Macaca mulatta: one gene and its partners. The protein of the gene in region 1 binds, or shares a complex with, the protein of each later gene. Links are inferred from orthologs where the notes say so. Each region holds a gene or a part of one and is shown in the gene's direction. Other genes may lie near its edges.

Region 1 (4,107 bases):
CGGTGTACCAGAAATCTTTTATCTTATCTTACCTACCTGCATGTGAAGTAGGGGGGAAGTAGGGGAAAAGATTCCAGCTTTTCCTTGAAGAGGACCATTTTACTCTCTTAGGTGAAAATACATACACATTTTCCTCCTTGGTACACTGACTTTTTTTTTTTTTTTTTTTTTTTTAAAGAACATCTGAGTTCTGAAGCCCATGTGCTATGAGAGGTTTTACATCAAAACAAAATTCTTTTATCTCAAGATCACTGAATGTGTATCTTGAAACTTCATATTCAAGGTTGCTTCCAGTCCATCAACAGTAATTCCCTACTCTGATTCCCTACACAGATTCCCACACTAACCTGCCTACCCTCACGTTCTTGAAGTCAAAGCAGACTGGATCACTGATGTTCAACCACTTAATAAATCTGAGTATGTTTGTGTGTCTTGGTGACTTTAACCTTAGTCACAAAACTAGAAGCCTGGTCTATTTTTTTGGTTACAGTGTAAGTTTTCTTTCCTTGAAGACTGACTTTTCCAAAACCATCAAAGGAGAAAGGTGGCAGTAAGGGAGAAAAATAGAGCATAACTCAGAAACACGAGGCCCAACGGCAGAGGAAAAGCCGGCCATTGTTGTCTCATGAGTAGGCTCTAGTAATAGGAATATTTTGGGTATCTTTTGTTTGATGTTATACATTTGTGGCATTTGACATAAGGAATTAGGCTTTTGTAAGGGTGGGATGCCAAGAAAACTGTTGATACAAATAGAAAAACAGTCTGACATTGTCATTACCACGAGATAATTGAAATGCAGACTTAGGGAGGGAAAATGCCATGGAACATCTTTCAGATGTCAAAGCAAAATGAAGGAAAGACTGAGCTTGCAGTAATTATTGAAGACACTGTGAAGACCTTCTTTAGGACCCAATCATTTATCTCCAAAGCAACATGGCTTTAAAAATTAAAATGAGATCATTTTGAGATAACTCTTTTGATCCCATTTTAGTCTGGACAGAAAATTTAAATAGCCAAGGAGGAAAAAGAAACATTAACCAAGAGTTCTGGCTACCAAAAAGTGGCACCAAGATAAAATGCAGAACTGGGCCTAACTTTCTTCTCCCTAAAATAGTTTTGCAACTTGAGCTGCATTCCCCTGGGAAAGAGGCTGTGAATTCCATTAAAGTTCGCATTCCAACTGAAGTTTCCTGCCTCTTAGCCCTAAGGTCTACCAACCCCTGGACAAACCTATCACTCTTCCACACAAGAGGGTCTATCAAAGCAGTCTGTGGAGATATATAAAAGCCAGAGATCATCATGCCTTAGGGAGGTGATGAGCTGACAGGCTGACAGAAACCATGAAGTTCACATTTCAATCCAAGTTTTCCCGTAAAGCCACTGGGTGAGAGGCCCATCCCTACATAGGCTGGGAGCAGAGCAGGGAAGACAGAAAATACAAGGTTGAAAAGAATCAAGCAAGAAGGTGTTTTGTTTTGTTTTGTTTAGAATTCTAAAATTTAAAAGTAATTTTACTGTAACCTAAACTTGCAGCGATATGATATGGCCATGTAAACTTTTGTGGCACTGAAATGTTACTGCAGGAATGGCTTCTGGGTTTTAAAAAATTACAAGAGATCATGAGCAGGGTAATTATTTAGCTTTAAAAATCAACCAATTAATATACAACTGGAAATTCACAATGCTTCGAGCCTTTGTTCAGCCTGGTACGCCTGCATACCAGCCGCTTCCCAGCCACCTGTCTGCCGACACGGAGGTCAAGTTTAAGGGTACTTTGGTGCACGAAGCTCAACTCAACTATTTCTACATCTCTCCTGGAGGTAAGAAACCCTAAAGCGAAATAAAGAGTAGGAAGAACATGTGGAAATTTACTCTAAATATTCTAATGATACTTAGAATGTGACTGCCTCACTCTAAGAACTCATCTCTCCATATTTAATCAGGATTTACCACACACCGTTGTGAAATTTTGCCTATAACTGCACCATCCTGGTTTATGCCGTTCTTTGGAAATTCTCAATTGAAAAAAAGTGATGTTTGAGGCAACAGGAAATGCAATACTGCCTTTACATAATAAAACACCAATCTTTTACTTTCCTTTTAACTCTGTCAGAAAGATCAAGGAGATCAAAATTTCCGTATTAGACTTCATGTCTGGATTTTGTAGGTCCACAAAGACAAGGCAGAGAGCAAGCTGATTATATTCAATAGTGGTGTTTTCTTTTTTAAATTTCTTCAGTGGAAAAATAAAAAGCTGGTCAAATTTTAAGAGGCTAGTTAAGAGGCCATTAAAGGTGGTATCAATGTCACTCAAATGCACATTTTCATTTGTAACCCTTTGATTCTTATTAGCATGGTGCATTAGTTCATTTTACATGTTCTTTGGGGATTTGCCTCATCTTGTTTATGTTCCTAATACTTCTGTTCGATCTGTTCTTTTAAGATATTTATAATTTGTTTTATATTTTACCCGGATACCATACAACTCCAAATCATGAATGATAGCTTATAATTGTCTAATGAGGACATGTGATAATGTTTGTGTAAATTTTTAAAAGAAGATATATATCCATTCAATTAGGAAGTGGATGATAAACACATAATTACATGGGTAAAATTTAAATAGGCAGGACATCTGATTTGGTAATGTTCTTTCTAATATAATTTCACTAATTCCTCTCAAAAGGATAGGGAAATATGTTTTTCTTAGTATCCAGCAAGGAAAGCATTTAAGTTCCTTCTTTTTACTTGGAAAGCCATGGAAACAAGGGAGTGTTAAATTACACAAACCTCTTCTGGGCATCTAAGGATAAACCAAAAATTTAAAAATTCCTTCAAACTCCATTCCTTTCATGAAGTCTTTCTCAAAAGAGTAGAATAGTATTTTCAATGTAAGGATGGAGAACATCTAATCATATATTTGTGTAAACACTTGTTTCTGAGATTTCATTCAAATATAGTATTTCTTGATTTACTGTACCATTTATCTAGATCAAGCTTTAATAAATTTGGCCATCCTGATGATGACTACTTACTAGCATATGGTAGTACACATGCACACACAGTTACTAGGCATTTGAAAGACCTCAAGATATTTTAAAAAAAAACAGAAAAATAGAACCATGAAATTTTAGAGCCAGAAGTCAGGTAAGAAGCATGCAGTTCAATAACCTATTTCCCTAATGAGGAATCTGTGGTCTAACAAGGCTAAACAAGCTAGCCAAAGTCATTTTTCTTGGTTTAATCTGTTTCCCCTAAAATATGCCCTTCTCCTAGCCTTTCAAATGAAATAGATGAAGCATTCAAATTTGTTTTTACATATTGGATTGAGTTCTAGGCTTGGTTATAAAAGACTGGAATTAGTCTTTTTAAACCAAAGTTCATGTGGACTCTCTAAAGGAAAAAAAGAAGGATGGAATGAAGGGGGGGCGGAGATCAGTGAGGAAGGGAGGGACGGAGGGGGAGAAAAAGAGAGAAAAGAAAGAAGAAGGGAATTAAGCTTTCTGGTAGTGGCAATGTTTTCACAGCAGTAAACACTCGAGCAGCAGTGACGCTGCCTGCGTGCTGGCATCCATAGATGGGAAACACAGGCTGTGTTTGGCCGGCTCTATGCGGATTCTGTACTTCTTCCCCATTTGGAATGTTTGCACTCAAAATGCTTTCCTCCAGCATGTTCTCTAATGCCTTTAAAGTAATGTTCTTCCATTCACCTTCCGCCTTAGCTTTACTGACCAAACACGGACACAATCTTGTAAAATAAAATCTTCACTGGCCACTGAGAGTCTACGTAGCACTGTTATCTTTGGCCCTTGGTCTGCTTCTCTTCATATGACATGGTTTTACTGCACCTCACAAATCAGTGATCCCATGACCTGGGAAGAATGAAAGGTTCAAAGCAGATGAGAAGCAGTTTCTATTTTACGGGTGACTAATACTCATGAACATTTTGGGGGAAACAGTAGTAACAACCTTCCCCTTTCTAAATAAATTAACGTTATTAGAAAGTTAATGCCATTAAAAACAAACAAAACTATCTTAATTAAAGCTTTATACTAATTTGGATTAAATTAATATGTACTCTCCAACTATAAATGAGAATTTATTACT
Region 2 (4,190 bases), on another chromosome or scaffold:
CTTAGACAAGTGACTTCACGTCTCTGAGTGTCCATGTCCTTGTCTGTGAAATGGCAGTAACAGTTGTGTTACTGTGAAATGGCAAAAACAGCCACAGTCCCCTTGTGGATTTGGTGTGAAGAGTAACTGCGATGATGGATGAAGGCTCAGCAGAGTGCCTGTTAGATAGTAAGCACTCACTGAAGATGAGCCACTGCTCCTATTATCATCATCATGAACTTTCTGTGATTCCAAGGCTGGAGGCCGAAATGTTTCTGTCCACATGGGCAGAGTCTCTGTAAATCGTGTCAATCTGAGGCAAGAATTTTGAAGTTCAAGGCCCCACCCAGCTCAGGAGGCTATTCCTGATCATGCATCAGCCTCTCGGCTACACCCAAAAAGGGCCACCCAGTGAGCTGAGAAGGGAGAGATGGCACAACCCAGGAGAGACGTAGAGGCCGCAGCCTCGGGGACAGGCCTGGGGGCCAGGCAGGCGCACAGGACCCTCGGAGGGTGGTCGATCCCAGGCTTTCTGTGTTCTCTGCCATATCCGCACACCCATGAGCTCCTGATGATCCCCTATAAATCAACCTATTCGTTCTTTTTCACTCACACACATATTTTGCAAATTAAAACGTAACTGGAAAATCGTTATCACCTGCTGTTAGTAGAAGGCAAAACCAAACACAGTGCCCTGAAAACAGAACAACCAAGTCCAGCAGGATTCCTCGTCCTCTTCAGGCCGTTCTCGCTTTGTTTCAGAGGACACTTTGCGGGCAGTAATGACACTGACCTCGAACGGAGCTCTGCTCTGGACCCAGTTTTGGGGATGGAAAGAGAATTGAAAAGGAAGTAATGTTCTCGTGGAGGGATCAGAGTTGGGTAAGGCCAGGCCTGGGAACCACCTAAAATCTTCCTGTGGTTTGCGGGATGCTGTGGGGTTTGTGGCTAAAACGCTTGCCTGAGAGGTGGACTCCACAGGCCCCGGACAGGGTCCCTGGGATGTCCCTAGACAGAATCCTAGGCCCCCCAGATCCCAGGATGAGAACCTACTCACTGCCCCGCCGGTAGTAGGCTTACAATGTGGGAGCCCGGGACGGCCGTGCAGCCTGCAGCTCCTGGTCTCCTCCCCTGGCCTGGGGTGCCCTTTCCCATCAGCCCAGAGCAGACAGATCTCCACCCCTGGGGCCCTGCTGCCCACCCCTCGCCCCCTCCCAACTCAGGCACCCTGAGCTGCTACTCCATAGAGGCCTCAATCCACCATCCAGAGCCTTCTCTCCTTGCCCCGCCCCCCACTGGGGTATTTCTGGCTCCCAGAGGGGCAGACAGCGCTGAAACCCGAGCAGAAGCCGTCCCCGGTGCCACGCCTGGAGAGGGGCATTAATAGCAGCCTTCCTCAGGCCCCTGACGCGTCTGGGCAGCTGCTCAGCACATCCCGCGTCCCTCAGCCCCAGGGCCAGCCCACTCTGGCTCAGCCAGGCACACTAAACTTAGTGGCCACTCCCAACTCGACAACCACCGCCACCCCCCAGCTCGGCTGTCACCTGCCGGAGGAGACGCAGCCGCCGGACCCTGCCCAGGGCACCCACGCCTCGGCGACCACCATGTCCCAGACCAAAACGCTGAAGGTCCGCGTGACCCTCTTCTGCATCCTGGCAGGCATCGTGCTGGCCATGACGGCCGTGGTAACCGACCACTGGGCTGTGCTGAGCCCCCACATGGAGCACCACAACACCACCTGCGAGGCGGCCCACTTCGGCCTCTGGCGGATTTGTACCAAGCGCATCCCCATGGACGACAGCAAGACCTGCGGGCCCATCACCCTGCCCGGGGGTAACGTACCCACCCTCCGTCCCGATCCCCACCTCCCGCCCTTCCCCGTCGTCCCCCGGACAAATTTGCCCATGCCAAGGAAGGCAGGTTTCTCAGGCTAGAGATAGGGCAGCCGCCCAGCCCTTTCTGCCCAGGGAAGAAGATCTGAATTGCATGTGCTGTGCTGGTGGCTGGGGCTGGGTTGTAAGACGAGGGCGTTTGTCCCAGCTATTTCTGTCTGGCTGGACCCTGGGGCTTTTCGCCCAGAACAGAGAGCTGGGCAGGCTCAAGACGGGAACCGCAGCTCTACCAGCCCAGGGACTTCTGGGCTCCATCTGGTCACTCTCTCCCTGCAAAGACATGCTGGGTGGCTCTGTGTCCTCAGGCTGGGGGAAACCATGGAGCTGGCAGGTTTGTCCCTGGCCTCAAGGCAGGGGAGGAGAGAGGACAGGCGACGGAATATGCAGGGTCCTGTGCAAAATGAAAATGCAGGGTTCCTTGCTCCAAATTACCAAGGATTTCAAGGCAGCGATAGCAGCACATGAATCCAAGCATGGACCCTTGTGGGCCCTGGGCCTGGAGAAGCTGCACAGGTTGAATGCCTGTGAAGCAGGACGTGGCTGTGGGTGAGCCACCTGCCCCTACCTTTTTTTTTTTTTTTTTTTTTTTTTTTTGAGACAGAGTTTTGCCCTGTCGCCCAGGCTGGAATGCAGTGGTACAATCTTGGCTCACTGCAACCTCCGCCTCCTGGACTCAAGTGATTCTCCTGCCTTGGCTTCCCCAGTAGCTGGGATTACAGGCATGCGCCGCCACACCCATCTAAGTTTTATACTTTCAGTACAGACGGGGTTTTGGCATGTTGACCAGGCTGGTCTTGAACCCCTGACCTCAGGTGATCCACCTGCCTTGGCCTCCCGAAGTGCTAGGATTACAGGCGTGAGCCACCGTGCCTGGCCTCCGCCCGCCCTTTTGTCAGGACGTCAGTCCATTATGCATCCTCCGTTAGCTCAGACCCTGTCAGAGTTACAAAGCATTTCCTCACCCTGTAATTTAAGCGTATTCCTCGATTTCCTACCATGTGACCGAACCACATGTCGAAGGTAAGCTCCTTTTCAGGAGTACCTGGTAGTTGCATGACTAGCCTCTATTCTGCAAATGCCGAGGCTTCTGGATTCTTAGCAAATACAGCACTTTAGAGGAAAGGGTGCTACGTGGAGACCAGGCGGCCAGGGATCTAGTCACCATTGCCCATTACCCTCAAATGACCATCCAGCGAGGACAAAGATCATCTCAGCCTCTGCTTCTTCCTCTATAAAATATGGGACTGACTCTCAGCAATGTAAGATCCCTTCCCAGGTTTACAGACGCCCATCCACAGTGGCAGTGGAGCAGGGTTATGTCAGTGTGATGTCCCACCTGGTTTTCAGGATTATTCCCTCTTTTACCAGACTTTGGTGTTCCTTGAAACCTGTCCTTCAAGGACACTAGGGCTGAGTCCCCAAAGATCTTGCAGTCTGCATGTGAACCAAAGAGCCAACACCCCAACCTCCCATATCTCTGCTCCCTCTTCTTTCCCTGCTGCTTGCTCCAGAGATCCCCTCCCTCATTCACGCCCACTGGACGCCCAGAAGACTCGTAAGTGCCCAACTGTTATAGAAACACCGAGTCCCAGGGCTGAGGGTGACAGGTGTGGCCATGTGCTGGCAGGGTATCGCATAGCCCGGATGCCCATGCCCCTTGGCGACTGCCAAGCACACCCATAAACAGGCAATCCCTCCAGCCAACTCCCCTGGGCAGGGCAGGGCAGGGCAGCTTCTTCAGGGACCGCGCATAGGGACGTGCTGTTACAGTCCTGTTCACCCGTCCTTGGAACCATCTGCCTTTTAAAGTCAGAGCAGAGGACTGGGCAGTGAGCAGAGTCCACACAAGGAAGAGACAGGCTGGTGAGAGGTGACTAGACCAATTACAGGGGACCAACAGGCATTGCTTGTTGGACCAACAGGCCTTGAGCCTGACCAGGATCTACCTCTTTGCCTTCTTAGCCTAACCAGCTATGAACCATACTTCCCACACTTGTGACACTGAGCACTACCTTTCTCCCAGTCATCTTCCAAAATATGTTCCTGCCTTTTTCCCTCTCTTTTCTCTGCAAATGGACATCTTTCTCCTTCCCCATATGCCCTTCTTGTGCCCCCTGGGACCATTCTTGTCTGGAGGGAGGAAGCGGGTTCATATGTGGCCTCTCATTTATTATTAACAACAACAACAATAATAATGGCACATACACGTAACCCTATGTGCCGAATATTGTTGTAAATGCTTTACATGTTTCAACTTTGAATGACATCACGAAAAAGATGATAGAGAAAAAGAACTTCCAAAAATCTTCTTCTCCATAA
Region 3 (3,500 bases), about 53 Mb from region 1:
ACCCTGTGCCAAGATTATTTCTGGGGTTCAACCCCCACTTTTCCTGCTGCCATCCAGCCTCATTTTGTTCTCAGGAGAGATGAGCAACAGCGGGCAGACTCTACTCTTCTGTAAAACGAAAGAACCTTCCCCCTTGTGCTATCTTCAGGCCTTTGGTGTACTATAGACACTGTCTTTAGCCTAAGACTCGAGAGCCTGGGCTGACCCCCAGCTGAACAGCCCTCTTGCTCAAGGCAGGGTGGGGGTAGAGGGCACAGTGGACAGCAGGTGTGTGATTTTGCCTTCTCCTCTGAGAGTCTGGCCTCTGCTGCCTTCTGTAGGTGGTCGTGCCCAGTGAGCTTGAGAGAATATTCCTCCACCCAAGGACATTCTAAAGCCCCTTCCCCTATACACACACACACTCCTGCATGAACCCCTTATTTAGGCTTATCCCTTCTCTCTGCCACTGGCATCTCAGAATCGTGGGAAGTATCACTTGAGGCTTCTCCCCACAGAGAGGGAATACTGAGGCAGGAAACGAAAGACTCTTTCCGTAGGCAGAGGAGGAAACCCAGACATCCTAACCTCTGGGCTCTTGTCTCGAAGTCCAGCATCCCTTACTCATTTGTGCCTCTCCCTCATGGCCTTGAAGCTGAGCTCTGTGACCCTCAAATGCACCCTCATTGCCTATGACCTTTTCTATGGGCAGGACTCAGAGACTCTCCTTGCTCATGTTACCCACTCCCCACATCCCCAGGGTCCTGCTCCATAGCTGAGTTGCCTGGCACTAGCATAGCCTTCTTCTAGGGCCAGTGTCCCCTGGGCCTGGGAAAGGACTGGGGAGATGTAGGCCAAGTGGTAGGCATGGCCCAGCCTCACCTGCGTCCAGGGAGACAGCTTTGTGTTCTTCTCGGTCTGTGTCTTGTTTGCTGCCTATATCTGGCCAGTTGCCCCAGCAGGTGTGGGAGGAAGAAAAGTAGGGGGTGGGGAGAGCAAAGGGGAGGTAACTTCTAGGAGTTGGCAGCTTTGTGTCCTCCTCTTCACCCTGGAAGGGGAAGGGCTCACCATTTGAGAGCCTTCAGAGCCTTGTTGGAGTAGGGAAAGTAGGATCTTAGGGGGCAGATGGCTGGATCCCCACACTCAGGACTGGTGCTGTGCCAACCAGCGTCTCTTGACTGTTACTGCTGGCTGGACTCCTGCCAGGCATCTTAAAGGGATGATGTCCAGGCTGCTTTGCAGGCTGCTGTGAACAAGAGGGCTGGGTCTCCTGGATCCAGAATCATCTCTAATACATCATCTTCAGCACTCCTCCCTTCCCTCAGCTCAGAGGACATGTTAGAGGGGAGAAAAGGGAGGAAAGAGAGAAGTGAAGGCTCTATTCAAAGCTGTAGTATTAATAGGTTTGGGGGAGGAGGGGCCCAGATCTTTGCACCTATAGATGGGGCCAGGTTTCCTGTAGCCTCAGAGGCACCGGGGCCCTTCTCAGGGGATAGGAGGGGCCATAGGGACCCAGCCACCCCCTTGGAGATGGAGAAACGGGGCAATAGAGGCAACACTGTAAGGTGAGGAGGGTGCCTCCATAGCGTCCTTCACGCCGGAGCCTGGGAGTCACAGCCTGTTTCCCAACCCAGGGTTCAGCTGACTCCTACACCAGCCGCCCATCTCTGGACTCAGACGTCTCCTTGGAGGAGGACCGGGAAAGTGCCCGGCGTGAAGTAGAGAGCCAGGCTCAGCAGCAGCTCGAAAGGGCCAAGGTATACTTTCTGGGCATGGGGCAAGACAGGAGGCCAAACTAGGTGGAAACCTGCACTTGGTCCTAAGTCCCAAGGTTTCCTTGGGCAGGATGTCCTTGAGTGTGAGAGGGTGCATGTGAGGGGCAGAGGCCACGGCCTTCTGCTGTTGGGGCACTGAAGCTGGAAGGGGTGCTCCGAGGCTTCTCTCACTTGCACTAATGGCCAAATTCTCCAGCACAAACCTGTGGCATTTGCGGTGAGGACCAATGTCAGCTACTGTGGCGTACTGGATGAGGAGTGCCCCGTCCAGGGCTCTGGAGTCAACTTTGAGGCCAAAGATTTTCTGCACATTAAAGAGGTGACCGACCCCCGTGCTCTAACACTTCTAAGCCTCTGACACTTCATTTTCTTGCTCTTGCCCCAGATCCCAATGTTTCTTACTTCAGTCCTCAGTCTAATTCCCCAAGCTAATCAGCTCTTCTCCTTAACACCCACCTGTCCACCCCTCATATCTAAGACCTCATCCCCAGGGTCTCCATCCTTCTGAGACCTGGCTTGGGCCTCAGTCTCCATGTCCATCAAGTGAGCAGTTAGATTAGCTGCCTCCGAGGTCCCCTATGACAGCTGCAGTGCCTCACTCAGAAATCCTGGGTGGCCCGAACTTGGCTGCCCTTTCCCCTGGCCCCTTCTGCCCACCGCCCCTTGCATTGCATTCCTTAGACCAGCTCAGTGACTGCCTCGCTGGCTTCTTCACATTGAAGAACCAGGACTTGGGCAGGGCGCTCCTCTCACCACCCTTCCTGCTCCACCCACCCCCAGAAGTACAGCAATGACTGGTGGATCGGGCGGCTAGTGAAAGAGGGCGGGGACATCGCTTTCATCCCCAGCCCCCAGCGCCTGGAGAGCATCCGGCTCAAACAGGAGCAGAAGGCCAGGTGAGAGTTGGGCTGTGACTCAGTAAACACACCCCAAACACTTGAACTGTACCCACAGGACACATCGTCATGCATGCCACACACATGCATATCCCCCTGAAATACACATGCACATATGCCCGGCTCTACACACTCACACTAAACAAATCTACAAACACACACACGAATGCACACATATTGTGTGTACACCTGTCTCACTAGATAAAGCATATGGAAATGTGTACAATTATTAAATAATGCATAGAACATATGTACACAAAGACACATTCTTCTCTACCTCTCTCTCGCCTCCCTTTCTTCTCAGGAGATCCGGGAACCCTTCCAGCCTGAGTGACATTGGCAACCGACGCTCCCCTCCACCATCTCTAGGTAGCCTCCCCTCAACCCACCCATTTTGGGTAGGTGGGTAGCTAAGACACAGGGAAAGGGGGGATTCTGCCCAAGTGAACTGTGTGGGAAGGGGTTTTGTGGAGGGATCAGAAGGGGTGGGGAGAAGCCAGTATCTCCCTGGGGATGGGGATACCGTGCCCCCAGGGACCTTTCCCCCTTCACCAACTTTAATCTTGTATTTCCTTTTCCGAAAAGCCAAGCAGAAGCAAAAGCAGGTAAGTCAAGGAAGGGACCTGGGCTGGGGGGGATCATGGCTTATGGCTCTGGGGACAGTGTTCTAGGCAGTCATTGTTGGAGGGCAGAACAGAGACGGGAGGGAGCCCAGAACCTCTGGATCTGCCTTGACACCAGCCAGGCATGAGACAGGCACTAGGGCCATGGTTTCTACTGACCTCATGTCCATTCTGCAGGCGGAACATGTTCCCCCATATGACGTGGTGCCCTCCATGCGGCCTGTGGTGTT
Region 4 (2,916 bases), on another chromosome or scaffold:
TTTTTTTTTTTTTTTGAGACAAGGTCTTGCTCTGTTGCCCATGTTGGGAGTGCAGTGGTATGGTCTCAGCTCACTGCAGCCCTGAACTCCTGGGCTCAAGGGATCCTCTCGCTTCAGCCTTCCAAGCAGCTGAGACTATAGGTATAGGTGCATGCCTCCATGATCGGCTAACTTTTTTTTCCCCCCTATAGAGATCTTTGTCCTTCCCCCCTGCTAAATCTTCCTGTGTTGCCCAGTCTGGTCTAGAACTCCTGGCCTGAAGTGATCCTCCTGCCTTGGCCCTCCAAAGTGCTAGGATTACAGGCATGAGCCACCATGTCTGGCCAGAACTGGCATTATATTTTGAAAAAAACCGTCAAAACACCTGTCACAGAAGAGAATCCTCATCACTTAAAGTGGTATTCATTCCAAAGTAAACTGTCCTCCCTCCTTCCATGATCATGTTCCTTCCATGATCATGTGTTTTGCGCACAAGTAATCCAAATGATGCTTATAGCTTACAAAAAGCTTCAGTACATCCTGCAGTAACTTCACGCTGTTAATATCTAACACAAGATCCTGGTTCCAAAAATTTGGCTTGTATGATGAGTCTATTTGGAGTTGGTATATTATTCATTTCTGATCATAGAGAGCAAGTTGTCTGCTCTTAGTAACTGAGACATATTTTCACATGGTCTTAAATCAATTTCTAAGGAATAAGTTAACTAGATTCTCACTTGTCGTCTATGCTTTACATACAATGCCTTGGGGCTATAGAGCTTTCCTAGGTTTAGTTTTGGAGGCAGGGTCTTGCTCTGTCGCCCAGGCAGGAGTGCAGTGGTGGCCTCTCGGTTCACTGTTGCAACCTCTGCCTCCCGGGCTCAAGTGATCCTCCCACCTCAGCCCTCCAAGTATCTAGGACTACAGGCACACGCCACCATGCCCTGCTAATTTTTGTATTTTTAGTAGAGATGGGACTTTGCCATGTTGCCCAGGCTGATCTTAAACTCCTGACCTCAAGTGATCCGTTCACCTCAGCCTCCCAAAGTGCTGGGATTACAGGCATGAGCCACTGCGCCAGGCTTTTTTTTCAAGCATAGCTATTTCAGGCGCTATGAATATTTGATTGCTTAATGTATGTTAAAATTTATAATAAACACTAAAAAATCTTTTGAAAAATGACTTTTTTTCTTCTCAACTGTGAAGTTTGGACAACGTCAAATTATCAGTGGTTTCGGCTGCTTCTGCCAAATTTCACATCCTAATCTTACCTTATTAATTTCTAAATTCAGATTTCATAATCTTGGGCTGGGCATGGTGGCTCATACCTGTAATACCAGCACTTTGGGAGGCCAAGGCGGGCAAATCACTTGAGGCCAGGAGTTCAACACCAGCCTGGCCAACATGGCAAAACCCCATCTCTACTAAAAATACAAGAATTAGCCAGGCTTGGTGGTAGGCACCTGTAACCCCAGCTACTTGAGAGGCTGAGGCAGGAAAATCGCTTGAACCTGGGAGGCCAGGGTTGCACTGAACCAACATCAGGTCACTGCACTCCAGCCTGGGCAACAGAGTGAGACTCTTGTCTCAAAAAAAAAAACAAAAGAAAGAAAAAAGATTTCATGATCTTGATGTCAAGAATAGGCTTCTATCCTATTCTGTTCAAATATATATACATCTCGTTTGTATCATAGTATCCATGCCTTTTTTCATTGCTGATAGACAACTTTTCTGTGCTGCCATGCCCTTAACAACTGTTACCTTTCTGGCCATTATTAGTTAAGCATTCAGTGCCCTAAACAATGATTTGAGGTAGTCAGACACTTGCTAACTAAATAAAAAAGGAGATAGTAGCAGCGCTTATAGAAGCAGGAGCAAGTACAAAGGGGTGCAGCTCATGAGCCCCTTCCTCCTCTTATGGAGGTGGGAAGGGGCTGCGTCAATGTGGTCTGGAATGTCTGCCTCTGCAGGAGTTGTTCGATGTGATCTTGGATGAGAACCAGCTTGAGGATGCCTGTGAGCACCTTGCCGACTATCTGGAGGCCTACTGGAAGGCCACCCATCCTCCCAGCAGCAGCCTCCCCAACCCTCTCCTTAGCCGTACATTAGCCACTTCAAGTCTGCCTCTTAGCCCCACTCTAGCCTCTAATTCACAGGTAAGGGGAGTTTTTCTATATATCTATATATACAATCTTCATAGGAAAAAAGGTAGCCTATGGTGACACCTCCAGGATCCAAGCCCAGTAGCCTGCTTGGGGCTTGTTCTAGTATATTAACTCAAAGCAAGTCCAGCATGAGCCATGTACCTGTAAGAAAAGCACCATCGACAGAACAAACATAGACTACAGAAACTTTCTACAGTAGAAACTTTCTACTTTAAACAGTAATATAGACTGTGGAAGCGGATCACCTGGATTCAAATCCTGGCTCCACCTCTTACCACTTGTGGGGCAGATAACCTGGGGCAAATTTCTTAACTGTTCTTACCTCAGGAATAATAATGGCAACCTGTCCATGAGGCTGCTGGAATTAGTAATCTCATGAGATGATCTTATAGGGCTGTTGTATTAATGAGTTATTATATACAAACGGTCTAGAACAGTGCCTGTCCCATATTGTATCACTGTATCATATAAGGATTTGCTATTTTTAATATTATCACAGTCAAGCAGAGATAGTTAAGTTTACACCCCTGTATAGAAAAATCTCAGGGACCTGCATCTATATTTGAGCTGCAGGAGAATATATAAAAGAACACTTGCCCTGCCTTTTTTTCTTTTTTTTAAGGAAAAGGTTACCATGCACACTGTTCTAGGCACTTACAAAGTCCAGTTTAATACACTACAAGCCTTATAAATGCCACTGGATGTTACCAAAGGGATGAAGCTAGGTTAGACTTCATTTCGGATGCTTAAAAAGGACTCCACTTGAATGCGC
Region 5 (3,963 bases), about 62 Mb from region 1:
GGAGCTTGCCTGACTCAGTCTCCAACACAGTCCTTTATTTCTTACAGATACAAGGAATAAAGCAGCACTGCATTGCCACCTCTAAATTGCTCTCCCCTGAGATGGGAGTATCTCCTCTTTCATCTATGTCACAGCCCAAAGAGTAGGAGAAGGGTAAACCCCTGTGAGATCAGAATGGCATCTGTCTCTTTGATCCATCAGTTACATACTGAGGCATCAAAGGTGGGAGATGGAATCAGGGAATCAAAAGGGTTTAGGAAGTGTGAGGTTGGCCATCCTACCTTTAAGAGTTTGCAGTTCTCATGAGGAAGGGGACATTACTTAGAAATTATTAAAAAGATTCCTTATGTGGCAGCTATATCCTTCTGTCTAGTGTTAACTGGCCCTTTTTAATAGCCCTGGTAATTCCATTCACCCTGAGGACAAAATTTTGCAAGAAGGAGGGTGGGGAGATGTCTCTGGGAGCTGATGGAGGGAATGAAGCAATACTACATATTCTTCACTTTCTTACAGGATAGCAAAGTACTTCTCCAACCACCCACAGATAAAAAGCAATCTAACCATGCACGGTGACCCACGCCTGTAATCCTAGCACTTTGGAAGGCCGAGGCAGGCAGATCACCTGAGGTCAGGGGTTTGAGACCAACCTGGCCAACATGGTGAAACCCCGTCTCTACTAAAAATACAAACATTACCTGGGCATGGTGGTGGGCGCCTGTAATCCCAGCTGCTTAGGAGGCTGAGGCAGGAGAATCGCTTGAACCTGGGAGGTTGCAGTGAGTCCGGATCACTTCATTGCACTCCAGCCTGGGTGACAAGAGCAAGACTCTGTCTCAAAAAAAAAAAAAAAAAAGAAAGCCATCTAGTATGGCTGATAGGAGAGCTCTATGCGTTCGAATTAGTCTTTTTTTTTTTTTTTTACCCTGTCTCAAAAAATAAATGAAAAATAAAAATAAACTCCCTTTAAATGTTATATGAGCATGAACAGAAACTGTCCCTTGCTGAATTTGGCCATTATTCACCTGTTCACCTTAGATGAAGAATCAAGGAACAGCAGCTCTGGAGGGATGGGAGGAGTTAGGGTCCAGCCCTGCCCCAGACCTCTCAGTGTCCAATTTCTCTGTGTCAGCTGTGTTTCTCAGCTGTTCACTTTCCTCCAGCCCTGTCATTTCAGCCCTGACACCAAGGCAGGAGGTTAGGAGGTCTACAAATAGCGACTGGGTAGCTGGTGTGAACACAGGGTACTGGGGGGGCTTAGCCCCCAAGGAAGAGGACCAGTTTTTCCCCAGCACCACCATCAAGGCCTCGGGGCTCCCAGCTCCCTCTACAGACTGTGGACTGATTTAGGGAATCCCAAACGTAAGTTACCTCTTCATCCTCTCGATTTCCACGACTGCTCACGCCAGCTGCCCTGATCTATAATCTATTCAGCTTCTTCATTTCTTTCCTTGTCTGTGAGTCGTTTGGGTTTTAGGAGTAAAATTATTATTCTACTCTAGGATGAGTTAGGATTGGAGGGGGGGTGGGGGTGGGGTAAAGGGAATGAAGTAGTAAGGGAAGGAAAGGCTCATATTACCCTGAAAACTTAAAATAGCTGAGCCCTGAGGCAGGCTGGGACAGAACTAGGCACAGGGCCCCCAGGGCTCAAGAAAGAAGTAGGGGAGGACAAATGTCTGCAGTCCATCCTTCCTTGTGCGCACACGAGGACACACATTAAACCTCTTGAAGAGAGGAGATCTGGGAAGGTATGCATCACATCTCTGTTGCCCACAGATTCCCAAGAGAAACAAAGTACCTATAGGAAAATAACATAAACCATGCAGCCTTGAACACTGTAAGGGCTGTAAACTATGGGGTCTCCCCTCAGGATGGAAGGATGAGTATCAGTTTGAGGAACTAATTGGGGAGCTCTTTAGTCTGTTGGGATTTATTTATTTATTTATTATTTTTTATTTTTTTTGAGATGGAGTCTTGCTCTGTCACCCAGGCTGGAGGGCAGTGGCACAATTCTGGCTCACTGCAACCTCCTGGGTTCAAGCGATTCTCCTTCCTTAGCTTCCTGAGTAGATGGAATTACTGGTGTCCACCATCACGCCCGGCTAATTTTTGTATATTTAGTAGAGATGGGGTTTCACCATGTTGGCCAGGCTAGTCTTGAACTCCTGATCTCTAGTGATCTGCCCGCCTCAGCCTCCCAAAGTGCTGGGATTACAGGCATGCACCACCGCGCCTGGTCATGTTGGGCTTTTTCCTAGACTTCCATGAAATCTGTTAATAAAACCTGCCAAATGATCTGTATTTGGCCCAGTGCAGTGGCTCACGCCTGGAATCTCAACACTTTGGGGGTTGAAACGGGAGGATTGCTTGAGCTAGTTCGGGTAAGCCTAGGCAACAAAGCAAGACCATGTCTCTACAAAAAATAAAAAGGTAGCCAGGTAGTGTGCACCTTGTGTTCCAGCTACTCAGGAAGCTGAGGTAGGGGGATTGCTTCAGGCTGGGAGGTCAAGGCTGCAGTGAGCCATGATCATGCCACTGCACTCCAACCTGGGTGACAGAGTGAAACCCCATCTCAACAACAACAAAATCTCTAATCACGTTTCTCCAAAAACCTTCCCTTTGAGTACCGCCCTACTGCAAGGGACAGAAATAAGGGGGAGAAGAGTGAAAGGGATTAGATTTCATAGTGGGGTCCAACCTCTTGCAGGATGACAGAAAAGGAGGTGCTGGAGTCCCCTAAGCCCTCTTTCCCAGCAGAGACTCGGCAAAGCGGGGTGAGTCTGGGCCTGTGACCACTGGGTGTGGGGGGCCAGGAAACCTTTACAGCTGAAGAAGAGTGCTTAAATTGATCTCATTTGTGTGTGACTCATGTTTTGCTGGCCAGCACCTGCAGTCCCCAATACCAATACCTGCCTAATCCTGGGGTACATTCCTTGCCCAAAACTAGAAAACTGTCTGTTTGCTCTAACACCCCCCTACTCTAGAGAGGGTGACAAGTCCTTTTAACGTTGGGTTTTCTTCACTCCCTCCCTCAGCTACAGCGGCTGAAGCAGTTACTCAGGAAGGGTTCTACAGGGACAAAGGAAATGGAACTTCCCCCAGAGCCCCAGGCCAATGGGGAGGCAGTGGGAGCTGGGGGTGGGCCCATCTACTACATTTATGAGGAAGAGGAAGAAGAAGAAGAGGAGGAGGAGGAGCCACTCCCAGAACCTCCTAAGCTGGTCAACGATAAGCCCCACAAATTCAAAGATCATTTCTTCAAGAAGCCAAAGTTCTGTGATGTCTGTGCCCGGATGATTGTTCGTGAGTCATAAAGGGGAGTGAAGAGAGTATGATGTTGAAGGCAGAGGTTGGGGAGAGGGCATACAAGAGGAGTATTTGTAGCAGATGGGCTGTGGCTAGAGTTGGTGTAAGGCAATGCTGTTAGAGATTGAGCAAGTAAGGTCCCAGACAGAAAAGGGAACCTAAGAGTAGCAGCAGTGGTACAAAGGGAAAGGGCAATCTGGAATCTTATCTGAATTTTCTCCCCCTCTCCCAAGTCAACAACAAGTTTGGGCTTCGCTGTAAGAACTGCAAAACCAACATCCATGAACACTGTCAGTCCTATGTGGAAATGCAGAGATGCTTCGGCAAGATCGTGAGTAGGCTCTGGGGAACAAGGTGTAGAAAAGAGGTGACATGGACGGGCACAGTGGCTCACACCTGTAATCCCAGCACTTTGGGAGGCCGAGGCAGGCGGATCACGAGGTCAGGAGATGGAGACCATCCTGGTTAACACAGTGAAACCCTGTCTCTACTAAAAAATACAAAAAATTAGCCGGACGTGGTGGCGGGCACCTGTAGTCCCAGCTACTCGGGAGGCTGAGGCAGGAGAATGGCGTGAACCCGGGAGGCGGAGCTTGCAGTGAGCTGAGATTGCACCACTGCACTCCAGCCTGGGTGACAGAGCGAAAAAAAAAGAAAGGA
Region 6 (3,500 bases), on another chromosome or scaffold:
GGAGGCTAGGCTGGGGGCTTGCTTGAGTCCAGGGTATAGTGAACTATGATCACACCACTGCACTTCAGCCTGGGCGACAGAGTGAGAACCAGTCTCTAAAATAAAAATAAAAAAAGGAGGGTGGGCAGGCCTACAAACAAGGTTAGAGAAGTTGGGAAGAAGAATCACTACCCTTCATACAGCCTCTAAGGAAGTCTGGCATGAGACCAGGAGAGAGCCTGAGCCCTAGACATAGGGCTGCTGAGGTCATTTCTGCAGAGGTGCCCAGGGCTGAGAGTTATGGAGCATTCAAGGGCCCTGACGCTGGCTCTCCATGCTGATCCAACCAGGACCCGCCTCTCTGACTGGGTGCATTGCCTGAGTCCCTCTAGTTCCTCTTCCTTTTCTCCCTCCCCAAACCAGGTACTTCAGAGGCTCATCAAGTCCCGAGGAAAGTCTCAGTCCAAACACCTCAACGTCCAAATAGCGGCCTCGGAAAAGCTGGCACAGTGCCCACCTGTGAGTGCCTAGATCCCGGGGAAGGGAAGGGAGGGACGACATTTGGGTTGCCCCGGTTTCCTCTGGCCTACATGAGAGACAGAGTGACCAGGAACACCTGGGTCAGGCCTGTAGGTGCAAACTGGTCTTCCGAGAAGAGTGCAGGTCCGTCAGTCAAAGACTGGGTTCAAGCCCCAGAAGCACCCTTCACCGTGGAGAGTCAAGCCCTGTCTCCCAGCCTTGGTTGCCTTATCTCTATGAGGGAGTTGGACTGAGTGCCAAAACTTCTTGCAGTTCTGCCAATCTGTAGATCTGAGAGCCCTCCTTCCCTTCTTCCACATCCAGAGGCCTCTTTTTAACCTTGTCCTTCAATCCCTTGACTCTACCCACTGCACCCAGGCCACACCCTCAACCCCCTTGGCCACGCCCCACTCATTCCAGCCCTGCCCCCTAACCCCACCTTCACAGGAAATGTTTGACATCATCCTGGACGAGAACCAATTGGAGGATGCCTGCGAGCACCTGGCAGAGTACTTGGAAGCCTATTGGAAGGCCACACATCCGCCCAGCAGCACGCCACCCAATCCGCTGCTGAACCGCACCATGGCTACCGCAGCCCTGGCTGCCAGCCCTGCCCCTGTCTCCAACCTCCAGGTACAGGTGCTCACCTCGCTCAGGAGAAACCTCAGCTTCTGGGGCGGGCTGGAGTCCTCGCAGCGGGACAGTGCGGTGCCCCAGGAGCAGGAACATGCCATGTAGTGGGCACCCTGCCCGTCTTCCCTCCCGCTCTGGGGTCGGAACTGGAGTGCAGGGAACATGGAGGAGGAAGGGAAGAGCTTTATTTTGTAAAAAAACGTGATGAGCGGCAGTTTCTGGTGTCTGTGGTTTTTGATGGGTCTGGGGCTTCTGGTGCTGTCTTCCTGGGCCTGGTGCCATAGGACCGCATCTGCTGCCCGCTGGATATGAGGCCTGATGGGAGCACTTTTAAGACAAGGGACTAGGAAGGACATGCGAGGAAGACTGATAAACTAATTCGCTGGACTCCACACCCTTTTTAGACCCAACAGAGCGGAGGCCCTCAGAGCCAGGGAAACCTACGTTAAACCTGGACTCTCCCTCCCTGGAGCCCTGACTCCACACGGCCCCTCAAGAAGGACCCAGAATGTGGCATCTTCTATGACTTGATGCTGAATTTTCCACCATTCTCCCAGTTAAAGTCCCGGAAAGGCCCTCCCATGGGAGACCCATCCTGCCTTGCCCTCCTCCCATGGGAGCCACAGCCCACCTCTTGATTCCACACCATTAAGTATAAGGTTCTAAGAGCCAGAAGAAACCCATGAAATCATTCTAGACTAGCTTTCAAATTTGTTTTCAGCAACAGAGCCCATTTGTTCAATGAATCTTGTGTGGAAGCTGAGGATGTAGATAATACATCCTTGCTTTGCCCTGAGGGAGCCAGGGGAATGGCCTCCCCTCCACCTCCATGGGGACCCCTGAAGCACTTCTGTGCCCTCCCCACCCAACCCCACCCCAGATCTCTAGGTAACAGTTTGGAAACTGCTGCTCAGGTCTAACTCCCGTCACATTACAACCAAGACATGAAGCCACAGAGAGGGGAACTGTTTGCTCAGGGTCACACAGCTTGACATGGCAGGGGAGGGACTGGAACCTCTCTTGTGCCCCACCTCCATGTGACATTTGGTGGTGAGGACACTGGGTCACCTCTTCATCTTCAGTAGGAGGGGGAGACCCAGCAGCCTTCCCCAGCTTGCTGCTTTGAGTCCTTGTTGGGGGCAGGGGAGGAATCCCATCAGCCTTGGAGACAGTGTCATCTGACTAGGGAATGGTGGGAGAAGCATGGGGTTCTGGAAGCCTAAGGTTGGGGTCTGGTGTGGGTCGAAGAAGCCAGGGTCAGCAGGTTTTAGCTGAAATCTCGTTAATATATTTGGAAAACCAAAGGCAATGACTAACCCAATCAACCACTAATGAGTGGCAATACTGAGCTGTTAATGATGATTAACCCCAAGATAGCATTAATGACCTGCACCGGGGAAGCGGTGACTCATGGCTCACGGCTGACGGCCATGAAGGTCGGGTGCCCCCTGTCTGGAGAGAGGAGCAAATGCCCTGAGGTCTGTCCTCTGGCTGGGCTCCAGAGCCATTTGTCCCCGGGGCCCCTCCCCTAGAGCCAGCACCCTCTTCATCCAGGCCGGACCTCTTAATGCTGTCACTAACTTGCCTTGCTTTGTTGTGTTTTTCTCACCCCTGCCTGATCTGCATGGTGTGTGCTGTCCGTCTGCTAACCAGGGACCCTACCTTGCTTCTGGGGACCAGCCGCTGGAACGGGCCACCGGGGAGCACGCCAGCGTGCACGAGTACCCAGGGGAGCTGGGCCAGCCCCCAGGCCTTTACCCCAGCAGCCACCCACCAGGCCGGGCAGGCACGCTACGGGCACTGTCCCGCCAAGACACTTTTGATGCCGACACCCCCGGCAGCCGAAACTCTGCCTACACGGAGCTGGGAGACTCATGTGTGGACATGGAGACTGACCCCTCAGAGGGGCCAGGGCTTGGAGACCCTGCAGGGGGTGGCACCCCCCCAGCCCGACAGGGATCCTGGGAGGACGAGGAAGAAGACTATGAGGAAGAGCTGACCGACAACCGGAACCGGGGCCGGAATAAGGCCCGCTACTGCGCTGAGGGTGGGGGTCCAGTTTTGGGGCGCAACAAGAACGAGCTGGAGGGCTGGGGACGAGGCGTCTACATCCGCTGAGAGGCAGGGGCCACACGGCGGGAGGAAGGGCTCTGAGCCCAGGGGAGGGGAGGGGAGGGAGCGAGGGGCTCACACCCAACATGTATTCGCCTCCAGGGGGCGCTGTCTCCCGCCTTTCAGATGCCTTTGCTCAAAGCTTGGGGTTTATTCGGCGTTATCATCCCAGCTCCCGGGAGGCCCTTAAGCCCCAGCTGTCGGTTTTTACCTGCCTGTTGCAGATGGATGGGGGATACCCACTTTTCTGAAGTGTC
Region 7 (4,297 bases), on another chromosome or scaffold:
TCCATGCCTAGCATAAAACAAACTAAGTTAAGTCACGGTGGGGTGCCTTTTGTGAGGCCACTCAGAGTAGAAAGAAAGAAACAAAGAGCCAGACAGAGATGCAGAGAACATAAAGAAAACAAATAAAGCATTAAAAAAGGAGAGATAAGTAGGAAGGAAAAACAATTCATGATGCTAAGCATCATAAAATCACACACGCTTTTAAAATCTGGTCAGTAGTTAATAGTAGTACTAGTATTATCAGTCTTTGTTTTGGGAGATTGCCTTCAGAGAGCTGGAAAATCCATTTCCGATTAATAAGGGTCTCTTTCTTTCAGAAGCTTCTCCTAGAAATAAGAACGGGCTAATTAAAAATCTGACAGTCACTCCGATACTTAACAGAATTTTTGCATATGCAGGATAGTCATCACAAATTGTATTCTCTGCACGTCATGTCAAAAGTATTCTCATACACTACTAGAGGGAGCTTAAGAATTTAAGGTGTGCAAGGATATATTTCCACCTTTGGCCCACCAGGGGCCCTTTGGATAGGAGTCTTGTGCTGGACAGGAAAGGCCTATTCGCAGACCTTGTTTTTTCAAGGAGAAAGCCCGCCACTGCTTCTCCTGAGTCTGGAGGTAAAACCAGTCCGACATTGCTACTCCCTAGCTCTCTCCCCCTCCCTTAATTCCTCCTCTACATTTCAGGCGCATTTCACAGAGTGCCACCTGTTCCTGCTGCTTACCCTTTTCATGCCTTCGCATTGACAAGAGTGAGCTCACCCTTCGGCAACCTTTGTCAGGCCGGGCAGACCAGTGGCCAGAGCAGGGCATTAGGACCCTTTTGGAGGCAGTCCCAACTGAGATGCTGCAAAGCCCTTCTTTTACTACTGTCCTCCCTAGATGCAGAATTCGTCCCTCCGCCCCTCTGTCCAGTGGAACCACAGGACTGGAAGATTTTACAGCGTCAGTACTTCTCTGTCAGTCCACAGCCCGGTGCCCGAGGCTCTGTCCTGGCCAGGTGAGCCGAGCAGTACCTGGGCGTGGGGCCGCTGGCACAAAGGACACCCGGCCCCGCCAGAGGCTATAACCTATGGCACACGCGGGCATATAGTGCCACCTGGTAGAGTCAACAGTGGTGCTTTAAAATGCAATACAAACCCCTCCTACATTTGTTGTCAAATCACTTCACGATTCCTAGGCAGGCAGTGGATTCTGCGCCTGGGAGTAGGGCTGGGGGGAACGCTGCCTGCATGTGCAAAAATAACTCCCGAAGACGCGAGCCAAGTCCTGGGTTGGAGCCTCTGCAGCCTGTGGATGCCCGCTGGGCGGCTGACCGTCCCCCGGGAGCCCCGCGGGGCTGCTCCGCTCCCCCTGCGCACGCCGGGCGGCGGGAGAGAGCCGGCGCCGACTTTGGGAGTTCCTGGCTGCCTTGTATGGAGGGCTGCTCCCGGCCCGTCTCCGCCCGACTGCTCTGACGCCCAGCCCTCCCGCTGCCCACCCCCAGCCGCCTCCCTCTGACTTGCCTGAGAAGCCAGACGGAGCCTCTCGCTTCCACAAGTCTCTCTGCCTGCCATTCCCCCATTCCTGCAGCCACCCCCACCCTCCAGCGCCGTCACCCCTCCTCCGCCCCCGCCCCCGCCTCCGCCTTCGCCTCGGCAATCGGGGGAATAAATCAGGGAGGAAACCGAGAGGGAGAGCGAGAGCGCGCGAGCGCCTGCGGGCTCGCCGAGGTCTGTTTCCAAAGTCGCCCTTGATGGCGGCGGAGGCAAGGCGGCCGCGGCGCGGAGCAACCGACGCGCGCTAGTGGGTCCGCCCGCCACCGCCCCTTCTCCGTCGCCCGCTCCCGCCCTCGCCGTCCTCCGCGCGGCTCCGCGCCTCGGGCCCCGGGCGCTGCCGGCCCTCCAGACGCCCGCGGTCCGGGCGGCGTGTGCTGCTCTTCCTCCGCCCGCGGTTTCCAGCGCCGCTCCTTCCCCCGCTTGGGCAGGGAGGGGGCATTGATCTTCGATCGCGAAGATGGCTGCTGGCTGCCTGCTGGCCTTGACTCTGACACTTTTCCAATCTTTGCTCATCGGCCCCTCGTCGGAGGAGCCGTTCCCTTCGGCCGTCACGTAAGTCGGCGGGCCGGGCAGGGAGCGCCGGCCGAGGGGCGCCGCGGGAGTCTGGGGTGGGGGTCGGTTCCCGAGTCGCGGGGCTTTTCCGCCCGTGGGGGTGGGGAGCGAGCGGCCGGGGAGCCGGGCTCGGATGCGGAGAGGCCGGGCGGGCGGTGCGCGCCGCTCGCCGCTGGAATGCGCCCCGAACCGGCGTCTCGGGCGCCTCCGCGGGGCCGGGCACGGGGGCCGGCTGTCCCGGGAAGCGCCCGCCGACGACTTGCGGCGTCTCAGCCAGTCTCTAACGGGATTCTCTAGACTTCAGAGTTCAGCTGTACTGGGGAAAAAAGTTTCCAGCCAGCTCACCCGTTCTCATTCAACCCAGTTCAATAAAAAGTTATGTTTTGGTTGGGTAATTTACAAATAGGTAATTTCAGGCTTGCGGAGGTAGCGTGGACTTCTCCCGCACTTGGCCTCCGAGATGCTCTTTAATTGCTGTAGTGCCCAAACTCGTTTTATCCCACATTACTGGAAGCACTTGACAGCCTTCCAGTTAGACGCGTGCTGGCTCCCCGCGGCCGAGCGTGCTGTCCACGCAGGGGGCTCGCAGGTACTGGGACCGAGCGATCCAACCTCCCCAACCCCATTATTTGAAACATCTAAGTGTCGGCAGACACGCGGTCCCTGTTCTTCAAATGAATAGAGCCTGTTCTTTGAAGGAGGGACTGTTTCCAGTCTCCTGCAATTTTCTTTTATTTTTAACATTTCTAAAATAACTTTTAAAAACCTCGCTGCTGTTCTGGAAATAGAGGGCTTATAGGTAGCTATAGTCACACGACAGGAAGGGAATGAAAAATAATAATTCTCTCCTCTCTTAGGCAGCAAAATAGAATCAAACTCAGTGGCACATATAAATATATACATATTTCTTAATGCACCGAATAGCCTTCCCGGCTTTCTGGGAAAGCATTTATTTTGGTTCTTGAAGCTTCTTTAAAGCTTCTAAGGGTAGGTAATCTTAAGTGCATGAGTCACTTTAATGCATTTTACATAACAAAAACAAAGCCCAAGGTAGCTTTCCCGGTATTTATGCTGCTGGGAATTATTTGCTGTCCTTTGTTGGCTGAGTGCTGAATACAGTTTTTGGTGGAAAGTAACAGTGAATCTTTACCGGTTGAAACCCTGCGGCTATTATTTAAGATTCAGTTTTAAGTATTTATTACGTTAGGTGTCAGTGCAAGAATCTGGAGGATGCACATTCTATCCCTTAGAAGGGGAGTGTCAAATTTTTGTTGTCATTGATTTACAGTAATGTTCCTCTTTAGGTAATCTTTCATAAAACTGATTGCAGATCCTTTTTGTTATGAAGCAGAAGGGTAAATGCCATCTGGAGATCTTCGTTTAATTGGCAGGATGTTCCAGTCGGATATTTTTGAACATAAAAAGAATAAGAATCACCCTAAAGGGTGCTTCAGAATTATTTACTCTTGTTAAGGCATCACACTTCCATTTAATTTTTTAAGCCTTTTTGTTGCTTGGCCTGTAAAGTGAGAACTCAAGTGAGTCGCTTGCATTCTGTGTCAAATAAAGAAGTGGCTCTTTAAAAAACAGTCACTTTCTAAATGTGTTCCTATTACTCATTTTTACACTGTTGTTTTTAACTGACAATCTATCAATATTTTTGTCATGGGAGGGGATACATCATCATACCATTGGAGAAAGCTGCAACAAAATACAACCTTTTATTCCTCAACATACTATGGTAAAACATTAATGTAAAAATCCTTATTGTAAGAACATCTGCAATAATGCTTTCCTAAAATTATAAGTAAATCAATTTTCATGATCAGAAATTTACTAGACAGGAAAGAGTATAAATAGTGGGCTAAAATGGGAAGTAGGACACCACAATTTCTTTTCTTTGAAGGGATCTGAAATTTTCTTAACAATGAAAATTCAAGATATTTTCAGATTATATAGGACATTGATTATTTCATGAATGAAATACTTAATGAAAGGTTTTGTGGAGCGAAGTCAATCTCCTGTAGGTAATCTTAGCAATATTTTTGGAAGCCTTCGGCATCTTCAGTTTTTCATTTGAAAAGTTAGTAACACTGTCTTCTGAGGAAAGAACTGATGGTTGACATTTGTACTTCATGTTAGATTTCTGAATAAACTTTATGAAACAAAAAAATGCAATTTTTTTTGCATGAAGATGTGGTGCCATTT

Evidence for each region.
Region 2: CACNA1C (region 1) and CACNG1 share a complex: the UniProt entries of both Homo sapiens proteins name them as parts of the calcium channel complex. The link is inferred for Macaca mulatta from reciprocal best matches to the Homo sapiens genes CACNA1C and CACNG1.
Region 3: CACNA1C (region 1) and CACNB3 share a complex: the UniProt entries of both Homo sapiens proteins name them as parts of the calcium channel complex. The link is inferred for Macaca mulatta from reciprocal best matches to the Homo sapiens genes CACNA1C and CACNB3.
Region 4: CACNA1C (region 1) and CACNB2 share a complex: the UniProt entries of both Homo sapiens proteins name them as parts of the calcium channel complex. The link is inferred for Macaca mulatta from reciprocal best matches to the Homo sapiens genes CACNA1C and CACNB2.
Region 5: CACNA1C (region 1) and STAC3 share a complex: the UniProt entries of both Homo sapiens proteins name them as parts of the calcium channel complex. The link is inferred for Macaca mulatta from reciprocal best matches to the Homo sapiens genes CACNA1C and STAC3.
Region 6: CACNA1C (region 1) and CACNB1 share a complex: the UniProt entries of both Homo sapiens proteins name them as parts of the calcium channel complex. The link is inferred for Macaca mulatta from reciprocal best matches to the Homo sapiens genes CACNA1C and CACNB1.
Region 7: the proteins of CACNA1C (region 1) and CACNA2D1 are in contact, whole or in part, in a cryo-EM structure (PDB 8WEA), measured with the Homo sapiens proteins. The link is inferred for Macaca mulatta from reciprocal best matches to the Homo sapiens genes CACNA1C and CACNA2D1. Residues at the interface, in NP_955630.3 of Homo sapiens: Phe147, Pro148, Glu149, Asp150, Asp151, Ser152, Asn153, Ala154, Asn678, Lys1090, Gly1091, Asn1092, Tyr1093, Ile1094, Tyr1096, Gly1099, Val1101, Pro1104, Ile1106, Arg1109, Tyr1156; in NP_001353796.1 of Homo sapiens: Thr170, Asp171, Tyr173, Ile233, Leu235, Gly262, Ser263, Ser265, Lys270, Thr274, Ala327, Lys328, Gly329, Ile330, Glu366, Gln391, His392, Tyr394, Ile416, Gly417.

What each region holds. Positions count from the first base shown.
Region 1 is NC_133416.1:2,838,580-2,842,686, forward strand, and holds the start of CACNA1C (voltage-dependent L-type calcium channel subunit alpha-1C), read left to right. Parts: upstream 1-1,307; 5' UTR 1,308-1,681; coding exon 1,682-1,820; intron 1,821-4,107. UniProt on the Homo sapiens protein: Pore-forming, alpha-1C subunit of the voltage-gated calcium channel that gives rise to L-type calcium currents. Mediates influx of calcium ions into the cytoplasm, and thereby triggers calcium release from the sarcoplasm.
Region 2 is NC_133421.1:76,795,464-76,799,653, forward strand, and holds the start of CACNG1 (voltage-dependent calcium channel gamma-1 subunit), read left to right. Parts: upstream 1-1,390; 5' UTR 1,391-1,583; coding exon 1,584-1,812; intron 1,813-4,190. UniProt on the Homo sapiens protein: Regulatory subunit of the voltage-gated calcium channel that gives rise to L-type calcium currents in skeletal muscle. Regulates channel inactivation kinetics.
Region 3 is NC_133416.1:55,982,146-55,985,645, forward strand, and holds part of CACNB3 (voltage-dependent L-type calcium channel subunit beta-3), read left to right. Parts: intron 1-1,610; coding exon 1,611-1,733; intron 1,734-1,947; coding exon 1,948-2,070; intron 2,071-2,531; coding exon 2,532-2,647; intron 2,648-2,951; coding exon 2,952-3,016; coding exon of another isoform or gene 3,017-3,045; intron 3,046-3,232; coding exon 3,233-3,252; intron 3,253-3,447; coding exon 3,448-3,500. UniProt on the Homo sapiens protein: Regulatory subunit of the voltage-gated calcium channel that gives rise to L-type calcium currents. Increases CACNA1B peak calcium current and shifts the voltage dependencies of channel activation and inactivation.
Region 4 is NC_133414.1:20,104,062-20,106,977, forward strand, and holds part of CACNB2 (voltage-dependent L-type calcium channel subunit beta-2), read left to right. Parts: exon of another isoform or gene 1-105; intron 106-1,949; coding exon 1,950-2,135; intron 2,136-2,916. UniProt on the Homo sapiens protein: Beta subunit of voltage-dependent calcium channels which contributes to the function of the calcium channel by increasing peak calcium current. Plays a role in shifting voltage dependencies of activation and inactivation of the channel.
Region 5 is NC_133416.1:64,408,989-64,412,951, reverse strand, and holds the start of STAC3 (SH3 and cysteine-rich domain-containing protein 3), read left to right. Parts: upstream 1-1,163; 5' UTR 1,164-1,359; intron 1,360-2,704; exon of another isoform or gene 2,705-2,705; coding exon of another isoform or gene 2,706-2,771; intron 2,772-3,032; coding exon of another isoform or gene 3,033-3,083; coding exon 3,084-3,300; intron 3,301-3,536; coding exon 3,537-3,634; intron 3,635-3,963. UniProt on the Homo sapiens protein: Required for normal excitation-contraction coupling in skeletal muscle and for normal muscle contraction in response to membrane depolarization. Required for normal Ca(2+) release from the sarcplasmic reticulum, which ultimately leads to muscle contraction.
Region 6 is NC_133421.1:63,504,483-63,507,982, reverse strand, and holds part of CACNB1 (voltage-dependent L-type calcium channel subunit beta-1), read left to right. Parts: intron 1-402; coding exon 403-498; intron 499-945; coding exon 946-1,131; coding exon of another isoform or gene 1,132-1,236; exon of another isoform or gene 1,237-1,345; intron 1,346-2,784; coding exon 2,785-3,249; 3' UTR 3,250-3,500. UniProt on the Homo sapiens protein: Regulatory subunit of L-type calcium channels. Regulates the activity of L-type calcium channels that contain CACNA1A as pore-forming subunit.
Region 7 is NC_133408.1:136,992,560-136,996,856, forward strand, and holds the start of CACNA2D1 (voltage-dependent calcium channel subunit alpha-2/delta-1), read left to right. Parts: upstream 1-1,497; 5' UTR 1,498-1,994; coding exon 1,995-2,089; intron 2,090-4,297. UniProt on the Homo sapiens protein: The alpha-2/delta subunit of voltage-dependent calcium channels regulates calcium current density and activation/inactivation kinetics of the calcium channel. Plays an important role in excitation-contraction coupling.